Oryzias latipes: one gene and its partners. The protein of the gene in region 4 purifies or fractionates together with the protein of the main gene of each other region. This does not show direct contact. Links are inferred from orthologs where the notes say so. Each region holds a gene or a part of one and is shown on either strand. Other genes may lie near its edges.

What was found.
Region 1: the proteins of ecd (region 4) and eapp purify together in Homo sapiens (affinity purification with mass spectrometry; 3 studies listed by BioGRID and IntAct, counting the BioPlex papers as one, with this or other methods). This does not show direct contact. The link is inferred for Oryzias latipes from reciprocal best matches to the Homo sapiens genes ECD and EAPP.
Region 2: the proteins of ecd (region 4) and prpf8 purify together in Homo sapiens (affinity purification with mass spectrometry; 7 studies listed by BioGRID and IntAct, counting the BioPlex papers as one, with this or other methods). This does not show direct contact. The link is inferred for Oryzias latipes from reciprocal best matches to the Homo sapiens genes ECD and PRPF8.
Region 3: the proteins of ecd (region 4) and aar2 purify together in Homo sapiens (affinity purification with mass spectrometry; 3 studies listed by BioGRID and IntAct, counting the BioPlex papers as one, with this or other methods). This does not show direct contact. The link is inferred for Oryzias latipes from reciprocal best matches to the Homo sapiens genes ECD and AAR2.
Region 5: the proteins of ecd (region 4) and tssc4 purify together in Homo sapiens (affinity purification with mass spectrometry; 3 studies listed by BioGRID and IntAct, counting the BioPlex papers as one, with this or other methods). This does not show direct contact. The link is inferred for Oryzias latipes from reciprocal best matches to the Homo sapiens genes ECD and TSSC4.

What each region holds. Positions count from the first base shown.
Region 1 is NC_019880.2:24,339,436-24,343,517, reverse strand, and holds the start of eapp (E2F-associated phosphoprotein), read right to left. Parts: upstream 2,803-4,082; 5' UTR 2,673-2,802; coding exon 2,593-2,672; intron 2,280-2,592; coding exon 2,101-2,279; intron 793-2,100; coding exon 694-792; intron 1-693. UniProt on the Homo sapiens protein: May play an important role in the fine-tuning of both major E2F1 activities, the regulation of the cell-cycle and the induction of apoptosis. Promotes S-phase entry, and inhibits p14(ARP) expression.
Region 2 is NC_019871.2:16,913,018-16,917,230, reverse strand, and holds the start of prpf8 (pre-mRNA-processing-splicing factor 8), read right to left. Parts: upstream 2,809-4,213; 5' UTR 2,652-2,808; intron 2,179-2,651; 5' UTR 2,168-2,178; coding exon 2,011-2,167; intron 1,911-2,010; coding exon 1,742-1,910; intron 1,537-1,741; coding exon 1,372-1,536; intron 1,257-1,371; coding exon 1,038-1,256; intron 957-1,037; coding exon 744-956; intron 613-743; coding exon 487-612; intron 392-486; coding exon 286-391; intron 1-285. UniProt on the Homo sapiens protein: Plays a role in pre-mRNA splicing as core component of precatalytic, catalytic and postcatalytic spliceosomal complexes, both of the predominant U2-type spliceosome and the minor U12-type spliceosome.
Region 3 is NC_019865.2:15,451,654-15,455,835, forward strand, and holds the start of aar2 (protein AAR2 homolog), read right to left. Parts: upstream 2,808-4,182; 5' UTR 2,538-2,807; intron 1,981-2,537; 5' UTR 1,846-1,980; intron 1,611-1,845; 5' UTR 1,554-1,610; intron 1,224-1,553; 5' UTR 1,083-1,223; intron 986-1,082; 5' UTR 1-985. UniProt on the Homo sapiens protein: Component of the U5 snRNP complex that is required for spliceosome assembly and for pre-mRNA splicing.
Region 4 is NC_019873.2:17,934,628-17,938,778, forward strand, and holds the start of ecd (protein ecdysoneless homolog), read left to right. Parts: upstream 1-1,351; 5' UTR 1,352-1,485; intron 1,486-1,681; 5' UTR 1,682-1,713; coding exon 1,714-1,918; intron 1,919-1,997; coding exon 1,998-2,115; intron 2,116-2,216; coding exon 2,217-2,304; intron 2,305-2,943; coding exon 2,944-3,122; intron 3,123-3,280; coding exon 3,281-3,473; intron 3,474-3,587; coding exon 3,588-3,716; intron 3,717-3,827; coding exon 3,828-3,956; intron 3,957-4,063; coding exon 4,064-4,149; intron 4,150-4,151. Other genes in the region: protein FAM149B1, read right to left, coding at 559-605. UniProt on the Homo sapiens protein: Regulator of p53/TP53 stability and function. Inhibits MDM2-mediated degradation of p53/TP53 possibly by cooperating in part with TXNIP. May be involved transcriptional regulation. In vitro has intrinsic transactivation activity enhanced by EP300.
Region 5 is NC_019861.2:37,264,287-37,268,504, forward strand, and holds the start of tssc4 (protein TSSC4), read right to left. Parts: upstream 2,809-4,218; 5' UTR 2,712-2,808; intron 852-2,711; 5' UTR 782-851; coding exon 23-781; 3' UTR 1-22. Other genes in the region: shcbp1 (SHC SH2 domain-binding protein 1), read left to right, coding at 3,017-3,149, 4,051-4,218. UniProt on the Homo sapiens protein: Protein associated with the U5 snRNP, during its maturation and its post-splicing recycling and which is required for spliceosomal tri-snRNP complex assembly in the nucleus.

The DNA of each region.
Region 1 (4,082 bases), on a different chromosome or scaffold from region 4:
TCATTTCATGACGTGCATTCAAACCCTGAGAATTATTCTATGTATGTACTAGAACAGAATTTCTGGCATGGTGGTACAACGGTCAACCGCTAACATTAATATTCCTAGTCCAATTCCCACTCCCAATTACGTTCACACCAGACGTGTCACACATTCTTGGACATGCGTTGTCATATGGTGTTCACAGTGGACGGGCGCCAACACGTCCACCACCTCCAGTTGGAGGAGGCTTGGGAGGAAAATTCAAAGCGGTGCAAATCTCCAGGCGTTTTCTTTCACGGCTCGATTCCGGTTTATGAAAGACTTGGTGTGTCATGTAGTTCTGGCAGGGCACAAACTGCACATTTTGAATTTCTCCTTCTTGATCACCTTTCAACCAGTTAGCCCATTTGGTGAATTAAAAAGGATGCTACGCATGCGTCACTACCAAATCTGACTCTCTGATTGGTCAAAGTTCAACTGGTTTAACTTTCAAAGTGCGTTCAGTGGGTGCAGGTTTTGTACAAAAACAGACATCAAGACTCGCGCAGAGATGCACGAACAAAAGAGTTTTGACCGAAGAAGCCGGAAATGCGCATTTACAAGCGTTTACATAGACTTGGACTCGTTGGAAGTAGTGGCGTAGACGCGGATTCCCGTGGGCGGTGTGAACCTAGCATGCCCGTGCTCACGCCGCGTCAGTGTGCGTCTTACCAGCTGTGTCCTCCTCCTCTGAATCAGAGTCAAAGTAAACGCTGTCGTACATCTGAGGGTTGGAGGAACCGACAACCTCGCTGCCTCCTCCAGTTTCTGCTGCAGGAGAGAGGAAACCTTCACATGCAATCCCTCCTGAAACCTTCGTCTGCAGTCAGATTAATACAGAAGCAGACCAACCCCTCCAGAGAACAGCTGATGAGCTGCCTTTGCAGAAAAACATTCAAAATTTACAAACTATTGGTTTGTTTTGGGACTTTTATTTAACACAAACTAATCATTCAATTTCTCCTGGAATTGTGGAGGATTTGAAGGTTCTGGTGGATGAGAGGTTGTGGACTCCGGCTGGTTTGACTTGACTTTCTACTATAGCAAGTACATTGTATTAAAAGAGCATTTTTCTATTTTAAATTGAACAGTATTTCTAAAATATATCTTTTTTCTAATGTTTGTATGATTTATTAATTAAAACAAAGTAAAGAAGCCAAACATGAGTGGTATCAGGTCAAAACTATTGTTTTTGAGTTTTGCATGAAACCTGTCTGGATCTACAAATCCTCCCATGCTGGTCACTGATCTGACTGTTCATTACAGCTCAGACCTTAAAGTCTGCAGCTTCTAAAGAGAAGAACAGCTTTTAAAGCTGCACTGAATGGAGGAATGGAAACATCAGAAGACCTGTGGGGTGTTCCAGGAAGCATGTTTAAACTAGCCTGACTTTAACCCTGAACTCTGGCTGAAATCCGCCTGAAATCGCTTACTCTGGGTATGTCGGTTCCAAAAGACCGGGTATGAGTTGGCGTAATTGCGCTCGACTTGGTAACCCTGGGTTAATGCTCGTGCACAGCAGGTACATAAAGACATTCTCAATAGATCGCCGATTTACGGAGTAACCATGGAAACGCGTGGAGAACAATGGTGGAAAAAGTATTATCTGAGCTTCTTCATCCACTAAATCATCTTCAAATGGACACGCCATGCTGCTTCACCTCTCTGAAAACAAACTAAGCTTCAACTAAACCTGCTCCAGACCAGGTTATGTTCAGAGCATGAGTTACTATGGCAACTTGACCTACCCTGAAGCATACCTCCATTTCTAAAACAGAAAGCTGAGGGTATCAACTTCCTTAGCCTCAAACTTACCGTGGTAACTAGCATAACCTGCTTTCTGGAATACCCCCCAGATCAGGCTCTAGAAGCAGAATGAGATGGTTTTGAAAGGAGAGACGGACAGTTATGCTGCTGCTGCTGCTGCTGATGATGATGCTGGGAGGCGGCTGAGGTTGGGGCTGGTGGCTCCAATGTGGTAAAGTGGTTCAAAACAACAAGCAGCTCTCTTTTGTACAAAAGCTTGGTGTTTCTGTGTTTGGAAGGGCCCTGTGTGTGTCTGTGCGTGTTACGGGTTACCGGCTGCAGGGGCCCAGCTTCCTTCCATGGTCCTGAGGGTGGAGCTCAGCTCTGCCTCCATCTCCTTCTCAAACTCATCCCCGCTGGAGGACTCGCTCTCCCCGGTCAGGTACTCCCGGATCAGCTTCTTCTTCTGGTCCGGCGTCCCGTTCAGCAGCACGTCCAGCTCGTCCTCGGAGCTGAAGACAGGCGTTTCTGTTCAAAACTGGACTTTTGGAAACCTTCATCATGATGACGATCATGAAGCAAAGCAAAACACAGCGCCAAAATGCGACATATTGCGTCTCTTTTATCATGGTCTAAAACCTGATTCAAACTTTAAAATTAAACGTCTAGGAACTGGTTTATCCTGCATATATTCTACCTTTAAAATCAAAAACATCATTAAAAACCAAATCATAAACATGTAATGTTTTTATCCGTTTTTGTTGCTTTCAGCTGTTGTTAGCCTCGTGCTGCTAGCATGAAGCTAACCGTCTGTTTACATCATACCTGCTCGAAGCGCGTTCTTCGTCGCTTGGCTCATCGATTTCATAAGCCTCACTTTCCACCGGTCCGTTAAACTTGCTCATTTTAACAATTTTAAACTTTCTCAGAAGACAAAACAACGGGAAAGATTTATCCCGAAACTGGTCTACACTCTGTCCAGTCTGACGTATGTCTTCTTCTTCGGCATCGGTTCTTCTTCTATGGTGGTAAAAGCACTTGGAAAACTCGTTACCGCCCTCTTGTGGAGAAACATTTTAAAATCATTTTTACTTCAACTATCTAAAAGGAAATTCATTTCAGAACTAAAAAATAAAAGTAGGTGGAATATAAAACAAAAGAAACAAATAAAAATAAATTTATTTATTGCTAAAGCCACAATTTAATAGTAAAATCGGTCAGGTTAAAATGCTGAAGCTAAATTTAAAAGATTAGAAAAGTAAAATTAATAAAAAAGAAGAAATTAATTATTGTTTGGATTTAACAGTAGGTATAACATGAAAATAATTAAGAAAATTTTCAAACATTATATATTTTTATGTATCCCCAAAATATAATGATAACTATAGACTTCAAAAAGCATTAAATAAAAAGTTTTTCAAGATTAGTTTAAGGATAACCCATGCAACTTGAAAAGGACAATAGAGGTGAAAAGATTATTCAGCCATAAGCGCTCATCCTGGCAGCTCAGGAACAAGCCCTGAGTACCAGAGCAATAGAGGCTCAGATCTACCACACCAGACAAGACCCAAGGTGTAGGCTGTGCAAAGAGGCGCCTGAAACAATCCAGCACATAACTGCAGGGTGTAAGATACTGGCAGGGAAAGCATACATGGAGCGCCACAATCAAGTGGCTGGAATAATATACAGGAACATGTGTGCAGAATATGAACTGGAAACCATAAAGTCAAAATGGGAAACACCTCTGAAGTGGTAGAGAATGAGAGGGCAAAGATCCTGTTGGACCTCCAGTGTTATGGCTGTGGCCGTATTCGGTTTTGTTCTTTTTGTTCTGTCTTTTTTGTATCATAGTGGGACTTCTGTGTTTTGTGGGTTTTTGTGTGTCTGTCTGATTACTTTGGTGCTGGAAAGGGTGTGGCTTCCTTTTGGACCCAAGCTGATGGAGGCAGCCTTTACAAGCAGCATGTGGACCCCCAGCCTGCCAGAAGGGAGCTTTGCTGCAACCTGTCTCCACGGAGGTTATTGTTTTGTCACAGGTAAGATTTCAGATCTCAGTCAGGTGGGGTTTTGTTTGTTATTTTGGGTTTGGTTCACCCTGAAGCCTTTTTGCTTCACCTTTTAGTTATTGTCGATCGGTATTTATTAATTTGTAAATAAATGTTATTTTTTATGGAGACACTCTTTTGGTGTTTTTGGTGTTAATTTAAAGTCAGGGCAAAAAGACTTTACTGTTATGTTGTGCTCCTCTAGGTCCCCCTAGATATCAAATGGGGCAAAACATCCAGATCCAGACTGATGCAGTGATCGCTCCTCTA
Region 2 (4,213 bases), on a different chromosome or scaffold from region 4:
AAAATCACCAGGAGACATAAATAACCTAAATGATGTGTTTTTAGGGCTGCCGGTATGCAATGAGAAAGTGAACATTGTCTAAACGGTGAGGTTTTTCCCTGCAGCTGCAGTCAGACATGAATTAAAATGATCACCATTCATTTTGCTTTTCCTCCTGTTCTTACGCACAGGCAAGCAGGCCAATGCAAGTGCGCCTTTGTAAGAGGATTAGGTCAATAAATAAAGTCTTCTCATCAGAGAATCATAAAAAACTCTCAAAACAATGAGATCATCTGAGATTCACACCTTGACAGAATGTCTGTGGGAAATGGGGTTGATCAGCGGATCAAAGTAGAACGCTGGAAGATCTGGATCCTCCGTTTTGATAAACACCACATTTGGGGTATGGTACCTAGACAATAATAAAGACGTGAGTAAACATAATGATCAAAATGACAAATTTGGAGAAACACAGCAATTTTGTAAACACCAAAGCTTATTCGTTACCAGGTGAGATGCACGTGGTGTGGCAAGTTGTTGTACAGGTAAGGGAATGCAATTTTGTACTCTGTCCTTATTGGCTGTCTGATGATGATTTTGTTGATGTCATTGAACTCATTCCAGTCCTCATCCCTGTATGAAAACAAAAGTTTAACTACGACTCTTAATTGCCAAAGCAAGAAAGAAGAGATCCACATGACACAAAAAAGAAACCCAACAGAAAATGTCTTAACTGTTTTGTTACATAACATGCAGGGACATACTGGAGGTTGATGTCTCTGACAAGCGGCTCGAACTTTGGTCCCCCTGGAATGGCCATATTTAGAGCCTTGGATGTGAAGAAAGCTTTGAGGTCAAACAGGTAAAAATAGTTGAAATCCACCAGGTCTGTCAGAAGCTGATTGGCCAGACGATACAGCGTTGACATCATGGGCAATGTGAACTGCCATCGACGGTAGGTGGTTCCATTCACATATCTAAAAATGTACATTTGTTAACAGTAGGATCGCAATGTAGAATGGTTGAGCTGAAGCTTGGACTCATATATGGACACTCACTTGGAGTTGTCTTTGAGGGGCTGGTGTTCATATAACCACTCAACAACTGAGGCATCTTCCTCAGAATCAAGCTCCATCTGGATGGCTTCCAGGGGTTCCACGTCAAGAATGTTGTCAGCATAATCGAGCGGAGGCTCCTCATCGTCGAACGGTGGGAAGCGCATTCTTTTGAAGTGCCGCCGATCGCGCTTCTCACGACGCATCATGATCCACATGGTGCTGGGGGGAAAAAAAATAAAGTTGGAGAAAACTGTTCAACAGATAAATAGCAAGACTGCAATTACAATGAAATTTACACACATTCCACAAAACTAGGATGATACTACTCACTTACCCCCACTGAGCAATGTAGACTGGCTCTATGACCCACGGAATTTCATTCACAAATGAAATGGCTCCAGTGATGTGGTACAGCACCGGCACATCTCGGATCTGTTCCCAGGGCATCGGCATGTTTTCAAGCAGCTTCAACACAGCGTGGGGCATATACTTGAGAGCACTGTTAAACAACAGAAAAGAGAATGGAAGGCATGTAAAGGGTCTGCAATAACAGTAGTTTTGACCAGGAAACTAATACTAATGTATCCAAAAAGACAAGCAGAGGAACAGTGGAGGGTTCCATAAAGTTAAAAAAAAATGTTTAAGAGAAAAATAACATGACTTCAAATGACTTTGCATCTGCAGAAAGTAATGCTTCATCTTACCCAAGGTAGACCCTTTTGTCATGCCGGAACTTTCTATTGGTCATGTCGCCGTGATCCCTGATGATCTTGCGAACATGTTCAGGAGGCATGTCCTCCTTCTGGGCATCCACAAAGCCAAACTTCCTCTTCTCGGCATAGCGTTTGGCTTGTAGCTGTTGCCATTTCCGTGCTAAAGATGGAAAAATGTTTTAGTAGAATAATGTTTGAAATACATGTATTAGATGTTAAAAACAAAACTTAAAGAAAGGCAAACTCAACGGACAACGCACCCTTTTCTTGTAGTTTCTCTTCAGACATAAAGTCCGGAACTGGCACAGGAGGGGGGACACCTGGGGGTACGCCCGGCGGCACAATTGGAGGCACACCAGGGGGAACAACTGGGGGCATCCCAGGAGGGACCCCTCTGAATGGAAAGTTGACTGCCATACTGTAGCAAACTGTGAAATATAAAGTTTTTTTTAAAAACTGTAAGATGCAAAACTACATACATCAAATTTGAAAAAAAAAAAAAAGAGTTAGGTTACAGACTTTAAAGGGACTAAACTTTCAACTATTTACTAACACATAACTGCTTGGAAGCAGGATTATTGTTTGCAGGCTCTCGTTTGTGTAACATGCTAGGCTAAATCAACATGGCTTCCCGGCTAACGGGCACACTTCCCACAAAGTGCACAAAATAAACATCAAGGCACCATTATCCACTTGTGATAGTCAATTAAATGTTGACATGGTCAATTTTAAAAGCGCTGTTATATTTCAAATGAAGTGTGCGACACTAATATAAAAAATCCGGGTAAACTGTTTTAGGCCAAACGTTACAGCGCCGTAAACTAGCATGCTGCTAGCGTTAGCATCTCCTCGCGTTAAGTAACAAAGAGTAAGTTAAAGACAACAGCAAACATGTTCCTACCTTCACCACAGCAGTATTGTTGCAACGTTCAAATAGCCTCGGCGCTCTCGCTCTCGGCTACCATAACATATCGGCTCTTCTGATTGAGTTTCTCTTTTTCCCCGCTCACTCACGCTGCCGTTCGACTCGACGACAACGGAGGATGAACGCAGGTCTGTGGCATTCAGAAGCAGAGTTTACGACAGAAATAAACGTATCACGCGGCTAAAATGGCATCGCTGTCGCATTTGCTCCACGCTAAATCTACGCAAACGTAGGGATGCCGAATACCCGGATGTCTTTGTTTCCGGAGCTTTACCGCCCCCGCAGGATTGGGGACACAATTAATAGTTTGTACGCCAAATGAAAGAAAGAGCGAGTTATTATGGAGTTGCTAATTTCCAATTGATTTGAACGTCAGCACAAAAGCACCTTACAAAAAAGATCATTTTTAATGCTATTTTCCCACAAATCTTTCCTGTTTATGACTGATTTGCTTACCGTTGAATGAATTTTGTTTAATTGCTGTGTGACAGTTTTACAAATGTAAAAGCACAAAATAACATCACAAAATAAAGTGGCAAGAGCAGTTAATTCGGAACCTGTGGATGTTTTTAATCCCCAACTATCCCATGTTGTGTTCAAGTCATTTTACACCGCCAACATTTTTTCCAGTTTCACTTTTATAATTAACAGGAGGGTCAAGTCTGCCAGAATGTGTGTCCACGTAGTGTTTCGCAGTAGAAACTAATTAACAACTTTATCTTTTTTAAAGCCTATTCTTGATGTAAGACATGCATGTCCAAAGTCCGGCCCATGGGCCTTGCTTTCAAATTTCCACCGGCTGCAGCCTCTGGTCACAAAATCCGTATCCAGCCCCCAGCACCTTCTGTAGACTGTGTTACAATTTCTTAACTGTGATTGGCTAAATTCCATTTTTAAAAATTGTAAATCTGTGGATACACTGTCTGTTGAACAAGCCGATGCGGAACCTTTCCAGTTCATTTCTAAAATGTCAACTGTAAATAATAAAAAAGAAAAGTTGACAGCAAGAGCAGCCACTTGTAGAATGTCATTTATAAGTTTTTCGTTAGCGTTTGACAAAAGCATAGATGCAGAAACTGTTTTTTTGGGGGGAGTAGACAATGACCTGAACTTGAACAAAGAGCCTTGAGGGCCAAACGAAAGAAACAGATTCATTTGTTATTTCTTTGATCAAAGCAACAGTGGTTTGTACTTTGGAAGAAGAAAACTTTTTTCCTGTTCACATGTTTTAAATTTGGAAGTTTAAAGCGAGCATTTATAAATGAATAATAGGTGATTCTTATTGGGAACCCAAATTTATTTTGTAAAGTTTTTTTTTTTTATCCAGTCAAAATTTTTAGCATTTTATTAAAAATGAAATTACGTCATTTTGGTAAAAAAAAAAAAAAAGCATTTAGATGGAATTATGTTCTATGTGAAAAAATGAAAATAAGTTATTTACTAAAAAGGTTTAATTAAAAAGATCCTTTGGATTAATGTTATTATAATGGTTTAAAGCTTTTTAACCTCACTAAAAAATAAATATTATATAAATGGAT
Region 3 (4,182 bases), on a different chromosome or scaffold from region 4:
AACTCAATTTGTGTCACAAATAACCTCCTAAAATAAAATACAAGTGTCCTGAATATTGGAAAGGATTACCCAGAACGTCCCACAGACAGTCACAGACTAGTGAAGAAGCTGCTTCAGGGGAGTGTTGTTAAGGAACAAAAACGCATTTCTGCGTCGCTGTAAATGTTACGAAAACAAACAATGAAAAGAGTATAATTCTGACTAAGAACTGCCCTTCGCACTTTTTTTTTTACTAACATGCAAAGAACAAAAGCTACTTTACGATAATGTTCAGATTCGTGGCGAATTCGCTTCGCGGACTCTCGGCTGTAAACACTGGCGGACGCTGCGTAACACCTTATTTGTTCCGTCGGAAACATTCTTTTTAAGAACAGTTCCACTCTTTAAGATTTCCTTTTATAAAAAACAACAAAACCAACAATTTCCTCTCTAATAAAAGTATTAATAAATATTCAGTATTTTATTAAATGAAATTACAGTAAAAAAGACAGGAAATATGTATAATGTCAATATGTCATTCAAAAAAAACATGCTACAAAGAATGAAAATGTGCATATTTTACTGGAGAACATCTGAATGGTGAGTGAATACTTTTTAGCTTATCTTGGCTTATTAGGAAACAATTCATATTGCAAAGAGGAATGCTGACATGCAGTGGATGGCGTTTTTTTAATCACAAAACTCGGAGATCTCGACAACTGTTAAAAAAAGGAGGAATAAAACAACTTGAGCATTCCAATAAAAGAGGAAGCCGTTTTTTTTTTTACAAAGTCTATCTTGACCAGATTGGAAGAACCATCTGGAAATTTGAGTGCATAGAGTAGCACGGGTCCTAGGGACCAAAGTCATACTATTTATCAGAGGGTACGACACTTTTGAGTTTTTCCCAACATCTAATCAATGCCTTTATGGTTTTGATCACCCTAAATCTCTTGCCTTTTCTCCCTTGTATTTTTTGGGCAGATGAACAGGGGTTTTTCTTTCCCTAGAAGTAAAAGAAAAAAAGAAAAAAAAGATAAATTAGTTCAGATTTTTAAGTTTTTTTGCATACTTCAAAGATCTGCATCGGTACTTTTTCTCACCATATAATTAGGACTGCAGTTTTGAACGATGAGCTGCTCCATGTTTTCTATTGGCTTTTTCAGGTCAGACAGCTTCTTGCCGCTCTTCAAACAGAGGACCTGCTGTGTGTTAATGTATATGGACACAAGGATGCGATGTGCCTGCCATGAGATGGCAGGAAAAAGGAGAAAACAGACAGCATTTAAAGACCTTGATAACAAACAATGCAAGTATTTGGGTAGACAAAACTTGCCAAACTAAACAAATATGTCACATCAGGGTTAAAGAAATCTCCTTTTTTGTTTTTTTGTTTTTACTTTTAATATTGTTTTTTTTTTTTTAAAGCAAAATATTTTTAAATGTTCTATTTTAACAGTTTTCTGTAATTTGTTTCCATTTTTGTTACTACGTTTACTGCATTTGTTGTGTGTGTGATTTCCGTTTTACAGCCACCAAACTACATCTAATGTACCTATAGCATTGATGCTCACCTTTGCAGAGGGGCAGGGATCTCTCCCTTTGGATGAGTTGTGAGAAACAGTCAAATTCTGAAAAACATTAGTCATCAAAAATATTATTTTAGAAATCCAGTTTCATCTCATTCAAAGTGTGGGAAAATTCGTTTTGAGGCTTTTCTTTGTGTGTGTGTTGCAAAACAAACACTGGAGGGCAGTCTCTAACCATATATTCCAACACTTTTCTTAGTGTCAGCTGTAGGTAAAAGGCTGTTGAATATAAACAAACATTGAAATTCTTATTTTGCGGTCAGTTTGGTCGTCATACCAGATTCTGCAGCTCAACGAAGATGACTTCTCTGTAGAAGCCCAGTATGTCTTTGTAGTTACATTTACTTTTACCAGATGAGTTGGCCAACAAGAGAACCACCAGGACACTGTGGAGTAGAGTTCCGGTCAGACACTGCATAAAAGAAAGAGGTGTGGAAGTACCTTAAATGCAGCCCAGTGAAGACTGAATAAAATCACTCGGCTCCTGGGCATCTTTGTATCACATGACAGAAAGACAAAGTGCACAGACTTTGGCATTAAAATGCTCTGAAATCCACTTTTCCCAAGTCATAGTCTGGTTTTAAGTCTTTGGTTACAAGTCAAATCCAAAATGTTGGAAATTATTTTTAAAAATGTGTGATTCTCACTAATGTCATTACAGTATTTTAAACCACCTAATAGTGACACATACAGCACAAAAATATTAGACCTCAATCTGTTTTTTTTTTTTAAGGTAAAACTAAAAATAAACTAAGAATGTTCTCAAGTCCTCAAAGTCTAGTCTGATGCTCTTGAAGTTAAGGTTTCAGTCTTAAATAGGCTTTCAAGTCTTAAATCCCTGCCTTTGAAACTGAAGTGAGACTCAAGTCCGAGTCTCAGGTTTAATTCTCAATCTCTGCTTTGGCATCAAAGCACTAAAACAACTCACTTTGTCACTGTGCGTGCGTAATTACGCACCAGTGCGCTTACCATTTATTATGCTCTTCAGCAGGATCCTCAGACGAGCAAACCTATGTCTGACAGTGACTTGCAGGTTCGTGGAATTAACGCTCCAGCTGCTCTCATTATCCTTCTGCTTCCTCTCGGTACTGTCTGCACTGCACACTTTCTCAGGTGCAGAGGTCAGAGCTGCAGCGGGGTCAGTCACAGCCGACGCAGCGCTGCGTCTTTCCAGCATCACCCAGGCTGCTGCTGCTGCTGCTCAATTTCCTCCCCGTCATGGACTACTGACGCTGGGTTTAGGATTTCATCAAATTCCAGTCGGTTCAGGTCGAGGAAACTCCTGCAATCAATCATCTGCCTTTGTGCTTTCGGTTTCGTTTGGAAGATAGGACACTAAAAGAGAAGCTTTTCTTCTCATCAACTAGCGTTACTTTCTAATAATAATGGTATTAATGAATAAAAGTTTAGAGGTCTAGTTTATGGTTGAATGATAAAATAAAGAAACCCTTTATTTGTGATTTAGACAAAAAAAATGAGAAACCACATTTTATAACAATAAACAACTATGGGAACCGACTGCGGGGGTGGGGGTGGTGGGGGTAACTGAACTGGTCCAGCAGAACATTTCCTACAATGAAAGTTTTTGTTCTCCCATATTCTCACATTTTATTCTGACATCTGAAAAACACTTTTATAGAAAGAAAGTTATATTTCAGCTGCATTGATGTAAAAATACAAGAATCAGCATTTAATTCAGTTTGAGAAATATTTTTTTGTCATTTAATGACAGAAACTTTGAGAACTGTCTAATCCTGTGGAACAAATGCAAATTTTATTCATGAAATCTAAATGAGATATTAGTGTAATTTAAGATCTCACCAGATAATTACTGCTGAATTGAGACTCAAAAGTTTAAAAAAAACTTTTTCTAGATGCATGAAGAGACTTCTCTTGAATATTGTAGCTGCTATGTTTAGCCTTACTTTGAAAACATCATTTGCAGATCATCGTCTGTCTCACTGAGTTTGGAGTCAGAATTCCCCTCAACCAAACATTCACTTCAGAAGGTCTGCATTGTTTGTTTGGGAGTAAAGACACAAAAATTAAAAGTTGAACAAACCAAACATGGAGTTTTTACATTGTCATTTTGCACACTCTATTGCGTAAAGTTTTACAGATTTCTTTCAAATTGCAGGGCAAAGCAGGATTGGGTCTTTTGCACAGGGGGACGGGAATGCATGCGCTAATTTCTGGCCAGAAACTTTAAGAACAGACATGAACCTCAACAAAAAAGAAGGTCTGAGCTAACTCTATCTAGACTCCCTGAACAATACAAAGGGGTGTCATTGTCAGAGGAAAAAGTTGGTCTCACTGATTATAACAGAAACAAAGTCTAAAAAATGAATTCATATTTCTGTTTATTTACTTAATCCTTGGTGATCCATAAGTTCAAAGATACTTCTAAGCTCTTTGAACCTTCATGGCTTCATGCTAATAAGAAATATAGGAGCATTCAGGTCAAAATTAGAACTAAAGAGAGACAAATGAAACAATTTGTGTTTATTTTTGGGGAGTGGGATTATACCGGGTGCGGCGTAGAAAAGAGAAAAAAAAATACATTATTTCTAGCATGATGCCTCATGTTAGCAGAAGTTTGAGATGCTCCGGTCAA
Region 4 (4,151 bases):
ACACAAGAACCATAACTACAAATGTATTATTCATTCAAATTGTTAACATTTTTCTTCAAAAGTAAAAACTAACTCCCAATGGAGGGATAAAAGAGCCACCTTTGGCCCCAGAGCCTCAGATTGCTGATCAGCCTGAGCAACCTTCTGTTCATTTTCAACACCAATAAACTCATCTGGGGGGAAAAAAAACAAAACATAAAAAACAGGAGATTTTTAATCAACTCCGTTGGTGTATTTGATTCTTTTACATTGATATTTTAAAGTTAAGTTTGATTTTAATTTATAGTAACTTTTGTTTAACTTTAGAAGTATTTATCATGCTTTTGTCTAAGGGGTATCATCATCAGGCTGTGACACACAGCTCAGATAATCCAAAAGTATTCTTGATTGATTTTTAAGTAAAATACGAAACAACTTTTGAGCCTTTTTTCTGTTGTTGTTGATAGTCGATTATGCTAACAGTCCTTCATGCAGAGCACAACTATTTAATTATGAAGCACAGATGAGGAAAAATCCTGAACTTAACATTTGTGTTGTGTGTGGTAGTACTGTACTCACATTTCAAGCTTATGCGAAACGGGTCTTCTGGTGTATCGTGAAATCATTCTCCGGCTTGTATCTCTGCTCTATGATCGGCTAAATCCATCATTTCTCGTCCCTGCCTCCGCTCCAGAGGATCTTGTGGAAAAGTCTAATATTCCTGGCACAACGTTCCTCTGACAAGATGACTCCACGACTGAACAGACAAAAGAATGCTAATGCTCTGTTTAGTGTCATGAGATGCTAAAAATATCAGCTAACCAGCGTGAACAACATCCCTGCAAAATATCAACAGGGCACAAACAACGTTGCAAAATGATGTTCTAGCGTTGTTCTAGCAATGTTATAATGGCACACACAAGCCATCTACAAGCGTTCTATACTAACCATATTTAATACATTTGTTTGTTTTTGCTGTGAGAGGACTGAATGCTAGTACTAGCTAAACCACTGGCAACAATAACGCCGCTGTCATGGATACCAATTGTGTTGAACGCGCTTCTTCATGGGAAATGCAGTTAATTCACAATCTGTGTTGAGCTTAATCAATGAAAACCTACTTCAACTCCCAGCATGCATTGTAACTGGTGGTTTGTACGTCTAGAAAAAGCTTCCGTTATGTTTAGTGGACATTGACAAATTCCAAAAGACTTACTTGAGAATTTAACATAACCACATCATTTTAATATGAGTTTAATAAAAACATTTATATTTTTATTTTTTTGTGTTTATCTAGAAGGGGTATTATTCGCATGTTTTTAAGAAAGCGGAACTTAAAGACGATGGTAGGAACCCGGTTGTAGAGTGTAGTCGGCTTGATATTACCGACGGATCAATCAGTGGCAGAAAGCATCGTGGATGTGTCGTTTTGTAAACATGATTGAAGAATTTTTTGTCATTATTTTTTTCTTTCAATCACATCAACGTAATTTATAGTAAGACAGGGTAAGCTTCAATCCTAAAGTATGTTTATGCAAATTACGTCGTTACGTAATAATTGAGTTTAGCTAACTGTAAACGGACTACAGTGGTAACTTGTCTTTAGTTCTTTCTCTGTTGTGTTGTGCAGTTGGACATACATTGTGACCTTACTTTGCTTATCGCACGTGCACACTAGTTTATTGTTCATTCCTTCCAACAGGTTGCGTGCAAAAGTACAGAAATTGAACAAAAATGGATCTTTTACAAAGAAGGGTATTTCAGGATGATATGGTCCAATACAATCTCTTCTTGCTACCTGCGGATCATTCAACTCTTCAGCAGAACGAGCGACGACTTAAAGAGATGCTTGGAGAGATTTTTGCAAAGCTTGCCCCCATGTTGGTGGAATATATTTGGCAACATCAACCATTCAATCTGAAGTATCATCCATCCAAAGGTAATGGATGGTTATATGATCTATGTTCACTTTAATAGCTTTCTAACTATTAACTTTTGTATATTCCGTTTGCAAACAGGAGACATCCCGGCTCACATTGGAGGCATCACTCAGTTTGGGGACAACGTGGAGGATGAGTGGTTTATCGTTTACCTTCTGCAGCAGATCACAAAGACTTTCTCAGATCTGGTTGTCAGGTGAAGAATATATATGTATTTGAAGTTATATTTTCTTCTTTAAACTAATTCTTGCCAACATTACTTTGGTTTGTTCCCAAATATAATTAATTTTTACTCAGTGTTGAAGACAACGACGGGGAATTTATTCTCATCGAAGCTGCAGATTATCTTCCCAAATGGTTGAGCCCCGATACAAGTGAAAACAGGGTGAGTCAGACACACAGAGGGGCAAATAGTGTGTTTTATATCATATTTCTATACTTTTGAAAGGTGATGGATTACTCTCAGAAAGAGTTTTGATCAGATTTATAGTGAAACCTCTTGAGTCAGAAAAACAGATGATAAAATGTAATATGTTGCAGTATTGCAAAATATTGATAAGCATCTTTAAAATAATTATAACCGGAGAGCTTTCAATATGATGTGAAGAATAAAAAGGGATGGATGACATTGGATTTTTCTGATGTTTTCAATTTGTTGATTGATACCAATAAATTCTATTAACACCTGTGTTTTGACTTGATAAAAATATGTAACCAAATCTCCCCTATTTTTAAAGTTTGTTTTTTTTTACCTCACAACGCATCCCTGCTCCTTTACAAGGAAACAGATTTATTATAATTATAATCTATTATAATATATATTTTTTTTTAGATAGATGCAGCTCTTTTTTTAGCTGAGTAAAAGTTCTGATTTTTTCATTTGAAATGAACAGGGGTAGAAAGTCTTGTGCAATAAAATCTTACAATTTCTGCAAAAACCCACTGAAGTCAATGTATAGCTTGTGACAACCCACCTTCGATAGTTTAAGTGTTAATTATTATAATTTTTTTCAATCTTTTGCAGGTTTTTCTCTTTAGGGGAGAGTTGCACATCATTCCTCGCCCTTCCAAATCGAGTTCTGTGGGCTTCCCACGTAATGTGGTCCCCAGTGTGGAACAGGCTCTCGCACTTCTCTCTGCTCACCCAGAAGCTTGCCAAGCAAGCCCCGGGATACGTTCAGCCCTGAGAAAAAGACTTGTGGGGTGATGCATAAAGAAGACCTTTTAGTATTTCTGCCGCTAAATTTTACATCATATCATTGTGGGTTAAATAATGTGAGAGTGTATACGTTTTTTGCTGACTTAAATCTTTGTAAATGATGGATTGAATTCCAAACCAAAAACCATTTGCTTCTCCTCAGATACCCAGAGAAGATAAAAAGCGGCCTCCACCGTGCTCACTGCTTCATACCGGCAGGAATCGCCACCGTGTTGGCGCATCGTCCTGACCTGGTGGCACCTGCCGTCTCAGCTTTTTATTTAAGAGATCCAGTCGACCTGCAGGCATGTCGGAGCTTCAAGACGTTTCACCCCGACACCAGAGTCCTCACCTCGGTAATGACACGACGACCCGAGTTCTGCTGGATGAGCATGCAGACGAGGTTTTAGCTCAGTTTTGATATCATAAGCACAGAATACCTTCTAAGATTCACCTTTACTCATTTCCAGGTTACGTTTACCCGCTGCCTCTATGCCCAGCTGCAGCAGCAGCAGTTCACGCCAGATCGGAGGAGTGGCTTTAACCTTCCTCCGCGCACTCATCCTCACTACAAAGCCCATGAGCTTGGCATGAAACTGGTTAATCCTTTTTCTTTGTCTTCATCTTCGCATGCTTTGGTTGTGAGCACACACCTTTGTGTTTTCTGTGTAACACGAAGCCTCGTGTCTGTGTTTGGGCTCCACTTTCAGGCTCACGGCTTTGAGATTTTGTGCTCCAGGTGCAGACTTCCTTCTTCAGGGCCCGACGACGCTGCTGTCAGCTGTAACCCTCAGTGGAAAAGCTTCCTGAAAAGTCTCCAAAAGAATGACTACTTCCGGGTTGGTTCACATTTGTTAACAGTTTTGTTTTTTATGAAATGCATTCATGAGGATGATTTGTTTATTCAGTGCTTTTAATTAATTGTTAAATTCGTTTCCAAATGCAGGGGGAGCTGGAAGGTTCGGCCCGGTTTAAAGAGCTTTTAAGATCAGCAGAAGTTTTCTTCAAACAATCCGTTGCTTCAAAATCTAGGT
Region 5 (4,218 bases), on a different chromosome or scaffold from region 4:
AGTCAGCATCAAATCGAGCATTTTAGCACTCATCCTTGTGATCCGAGCTCCTTCTGTAGCTCTTCCTCTTCATTTTCTTGAAGGGGGTGAAGCTGGGGAGGGACTCCTGCTGGTCTCTGACCTCCTCTGCATCCTGCTGGGTCTTTCCAGCAGCCTTGTTGTCCTCCTCCTCTTCCTCAGCCAGGTGACTGAGGTGCAGTCTCTTCTCCTTTCCTTGCTGGTCTGACTCAGAGATTTCTTCCTTGAACGCTCGTTTGGGTTTAGAGAAGACCACCTTTTGCTGCTGGTCGTGGGGGGGTTCACCGGGGGGGCGGTTGCCCTCTTCAGGCCGCAGACTGGACAGGAAGTTGTGCGCCGCCCTGCGGTTCTCCTGATCAGTGGTCTCCTTCACGTCCTCCAGGCTGTAGCGCGTCCAGCGATCAGGGTGCAGCAGGTAGTCCGGGACCCCCCTCTTCTTTGCAGGAGGGGGACATTTGGGAGGGGGCATGCTCTCCTCGGGGAGCAGAGGTGCCGTCTGCCTCTCGACGCCATCCAGGCAGTCGAAGACGCTGCGGCTGCGGTCGGAGAACGCAGAGTTCCCTCCGCTCAAGACGAACGTGCTCGCAGTTGAGCGGGTGGCGCCGAGAGCGCACGCCTCCTCGCCCCCGTCGTCGCTGTCATCCAGCTCCGGGTCAAAGGGCGCCCGGCTCAGCTCTTCCTCGGGCTCCGACTCGTCACTGGCCGACAGCTCAAAGCCTTCTTGGTCGTCGCCGCAGCTCTGGACGCATTTCTGCTGCGACATCTTCAGCCGCGGCTGCAGCCGAACCCCGAGCCGCGAGGAAGACAAACCCGGTCAGGTGGGAACCCCAAAACTGTAGAGGAAGACACCAAAGGTCAGGCCACCCCATCAAACCTGCATGGACTGGTTTTAACATCTACCAAAACAACAACAAGCTGCTAGGACCTGTGAGGACGGACCACCGAGCATCCAACAGTAAATATGAGGGTTTTGGAAATAACCTGTAAAATAATAATGATCCTCTATGTTTACATCCATTTTAAAAGCAAGCATAATTATTTAAGTCCTAATTCTGTTCAATTCAAAACAAACTTGAAATAAATGTTTTGAAATAATGACCCAATAAAAGGTCAATAATTACAAGAATGCGCACGTGCAGCCAGTGCTGAACGTTGTCATTGGCTGCACGGACCCACAGGAAGGGTCAAGGTTAGGATTTCGGTAAGTTCAGGCAGGTATCCAGGAAGCACGTTTAAACTAGCCTGACTTTAAGCCTGAACTCTGGCTGAAATCCGCCTGAACTTGCTTACTCTGGGTATGTCGGTATGACCAGATTTGAGTTAGTGTAATTACGCTGGACTTGGTAACCCTAACTCAAACTCCCCAACCATCAAATCAGAGAATATTTGAATGAAACGTCCTTTCCCTACATCTCAAATTCAAATTATATAACCCAATATTTCAATAATTCAGAAAAGAAACAAATACGAACCAAATATTTCAAACTCCCCATCCCTCCTAAAGCCAAGGAAGTCAATTTTAAAACCTTTTCAGGTATTTTACCCTTCCAAGGAATTACTAAGAAAACGGTTTGGAATTCCTGAAAACTGCTGTTCTTTTTGTCATGATGACATTGAAACAACTGAGCATCTTTTCTTTGAATGTTTTGACTCTAATGTCTTTTGGAATTATTGGCTTTTCCCCCAAATCCCACATTTAGCAGACTTTTCTATTAAGGACATCATTTTTGGGTTTAATTTAAAAAACAAAAAAACACAGAACTTATTTTAAATGTTGTAATTATTTTGGGTAAATTCTATATACATAAATGTCAATTCCTTGAAATCCAACCATATTCTTTTACATTTCATAAAGAACTCTGCTCTTTTTTTCATCTGCAAACTTCATGGAAATCAAACTTGCTATGGAACTTCAAAGTATTATATGTAACTTGCAGCTTTTTGAGAACCCCCCAAGTCAAGAATCATTAAAATGTCTATGTGACCCCCTTTTTATTTTAATTTCTTTTATTTAATTTTTTTTCGGTATTATTGTTATATTTTTATTTTATCCTGCCTATGTTGTTTGTTCATGTCCTGTACTTTTTCTACTTTTCTATACTTGTCATAATTGTATACAATTGTTACAAATTGTAAACCTCAAGTGTTTTTTCAATTAAAAAAAAAGCTAAAAATAAAGAAAATACCCCCCTGGTTCCTGAGCGGCTGTTTCTGCAGCTCTCCGCTCCTCCAGGATCAAAGTACAATTTTCTCACAGTTAATGGGATTTTAACTTTAAATATGTTTTCCATAACTTTGTTTTCTAGTAAAAATACGTGCGAACAACAATAATAACATCATCATGATCATCAGCCTTAACAGCGCATGAATTAAAACATCTGTTTCATCTCATATATGAATTTTTTTTGTGCCTAAAAAACTAAAGCTTTTGTTTTGATTTTATTTAAAAAGATTGGCAATAAAAATAAAAATAACTCGGAATATTGACTTCGTAAAAACAAGATTCAGACTGAAGTTAGTTAGCATGCTAAGTAGCACGATGCTAGTAGTAGCGCGACATGCTAACAACGTTACAAATGCTTATAAACAAAACAAAAATGCTGTCTAGCCGAAAAGAGCTGCGAAATGCGCTGTTGTTTACATGACAAATATTTATATAATACGCGTAGTTTTGACTTAAATCCCGTTTGTACCTTTGAAATAGCGCAGACCGCCGGCCGAAACCCTCTTCTTCTACGGTAGATCGTGTAATGTTTACGTCATTACTGCCCCCTAACGATTGTCCTGTGGTACTGCAGACCGAGCCGATCCGCGCATGTAAAAAAACAAGGGCGGGTCTTTATATAGCTCCCTGCTGTGATTGGCTGAGCTGCAGCAGACCGGGATCTTTTGAAAGTGTCAGGGCGTGGGCTCAGAACTCCGCTTGTTGTTTCAAAGCTCCAAGTGCCGCGTGATCCTCATTTAATCCCGTTAAACCGAGACTCTGGCGAGCGTTTCAATGGAGTTCGAAGCCCTGGAAACCGGGTGTACCGTCAGCGACGTGTCGGACTTGGTGGTGGTCGATCTGGATCCTCAGGTCGAGACGGACAGCGTTTGCTCCGCGGGACCCGGTTTATTGGATGTAGCGCAAGGTTTGTTACGTTACCGTTTTTGGTTTGAGTTTTCTTTCCTCCGAGTCGGTGTATGAGACAAGCTAACCGCTGCCGTCGAGGTTTGCTAGCTTGGAGATTTAGCAGACTTTTTATCCGAGTTTCCGGCGGTCTGTGAACGCAGCGTCTTCATATGTCGTCAGCCTGAGCTGCATTCTCGGAACTGTCAATCTTGCAGGATTTTCCAAACTTAACCCAAATACGACAAATAATTATATTTCACTCTCATCTGAGTAGACATTAACGGATGTTGAAATAAACAAATAACACAATTATGTTATTACAAAAACAAAATATACCTATAGAAGACCGCAAAAGGGGTGTCAGACTGTTTCTTTTTTTTTTTTTAAGATATCCTGCCTTATCTGCTACTGATTACCTGGATCAGGTGTGCTTCATGGCAGGTTGGTTGGACAACATGTAGGACACCGGCCCTCGAGGCCTGGAGTTTGACACCTGGAAAACGGGGGTGTAAATAAATTCATTTATTTGTGTATGTAGACACAGTATTTGTGACTCTTTTGTTGATTCTATGAAGTTGTTTAACAGATTGTTAAATAAAAGAGAAGAGAAAATATCTGCTTTCATGAGGATTTTGACACAGGAGGACCGGAAAAAGCCTTAAAACCTGTTAACTTACTAAAAATACAGCAATTAAGGACAAAAATAACATTTAAAATGCCTATGAAATTATTATTAAAATTAGAGTTGAAAGCATATTTTTTAAAATAGCAAAATAACTTTATAAATGAGTTAAATCAATGCAAACATTTTTTTTAAAGTCCTTCAAAGTTTAAAAAAGCATTAACAGTCTTTTATTTTGAAAAGTGGCGCTGGACAAACTTTCACAGCCATCATTCATGACCTCCGCTGGGTTCTGCAGCTCTGTTCCAGAACGATGATGCTGGAGACGTCAGTGACGAAGACGAGGATGACGACGACGACAGCGGGACAGACCACCAGAACTCTGAGAGGTCGGGGACGCAGCTGCAGAGGTCGGAGCGGCGGTCAGGAGCGACTCTGCCGGACACCTTCCAGACCGGCAGCCTGC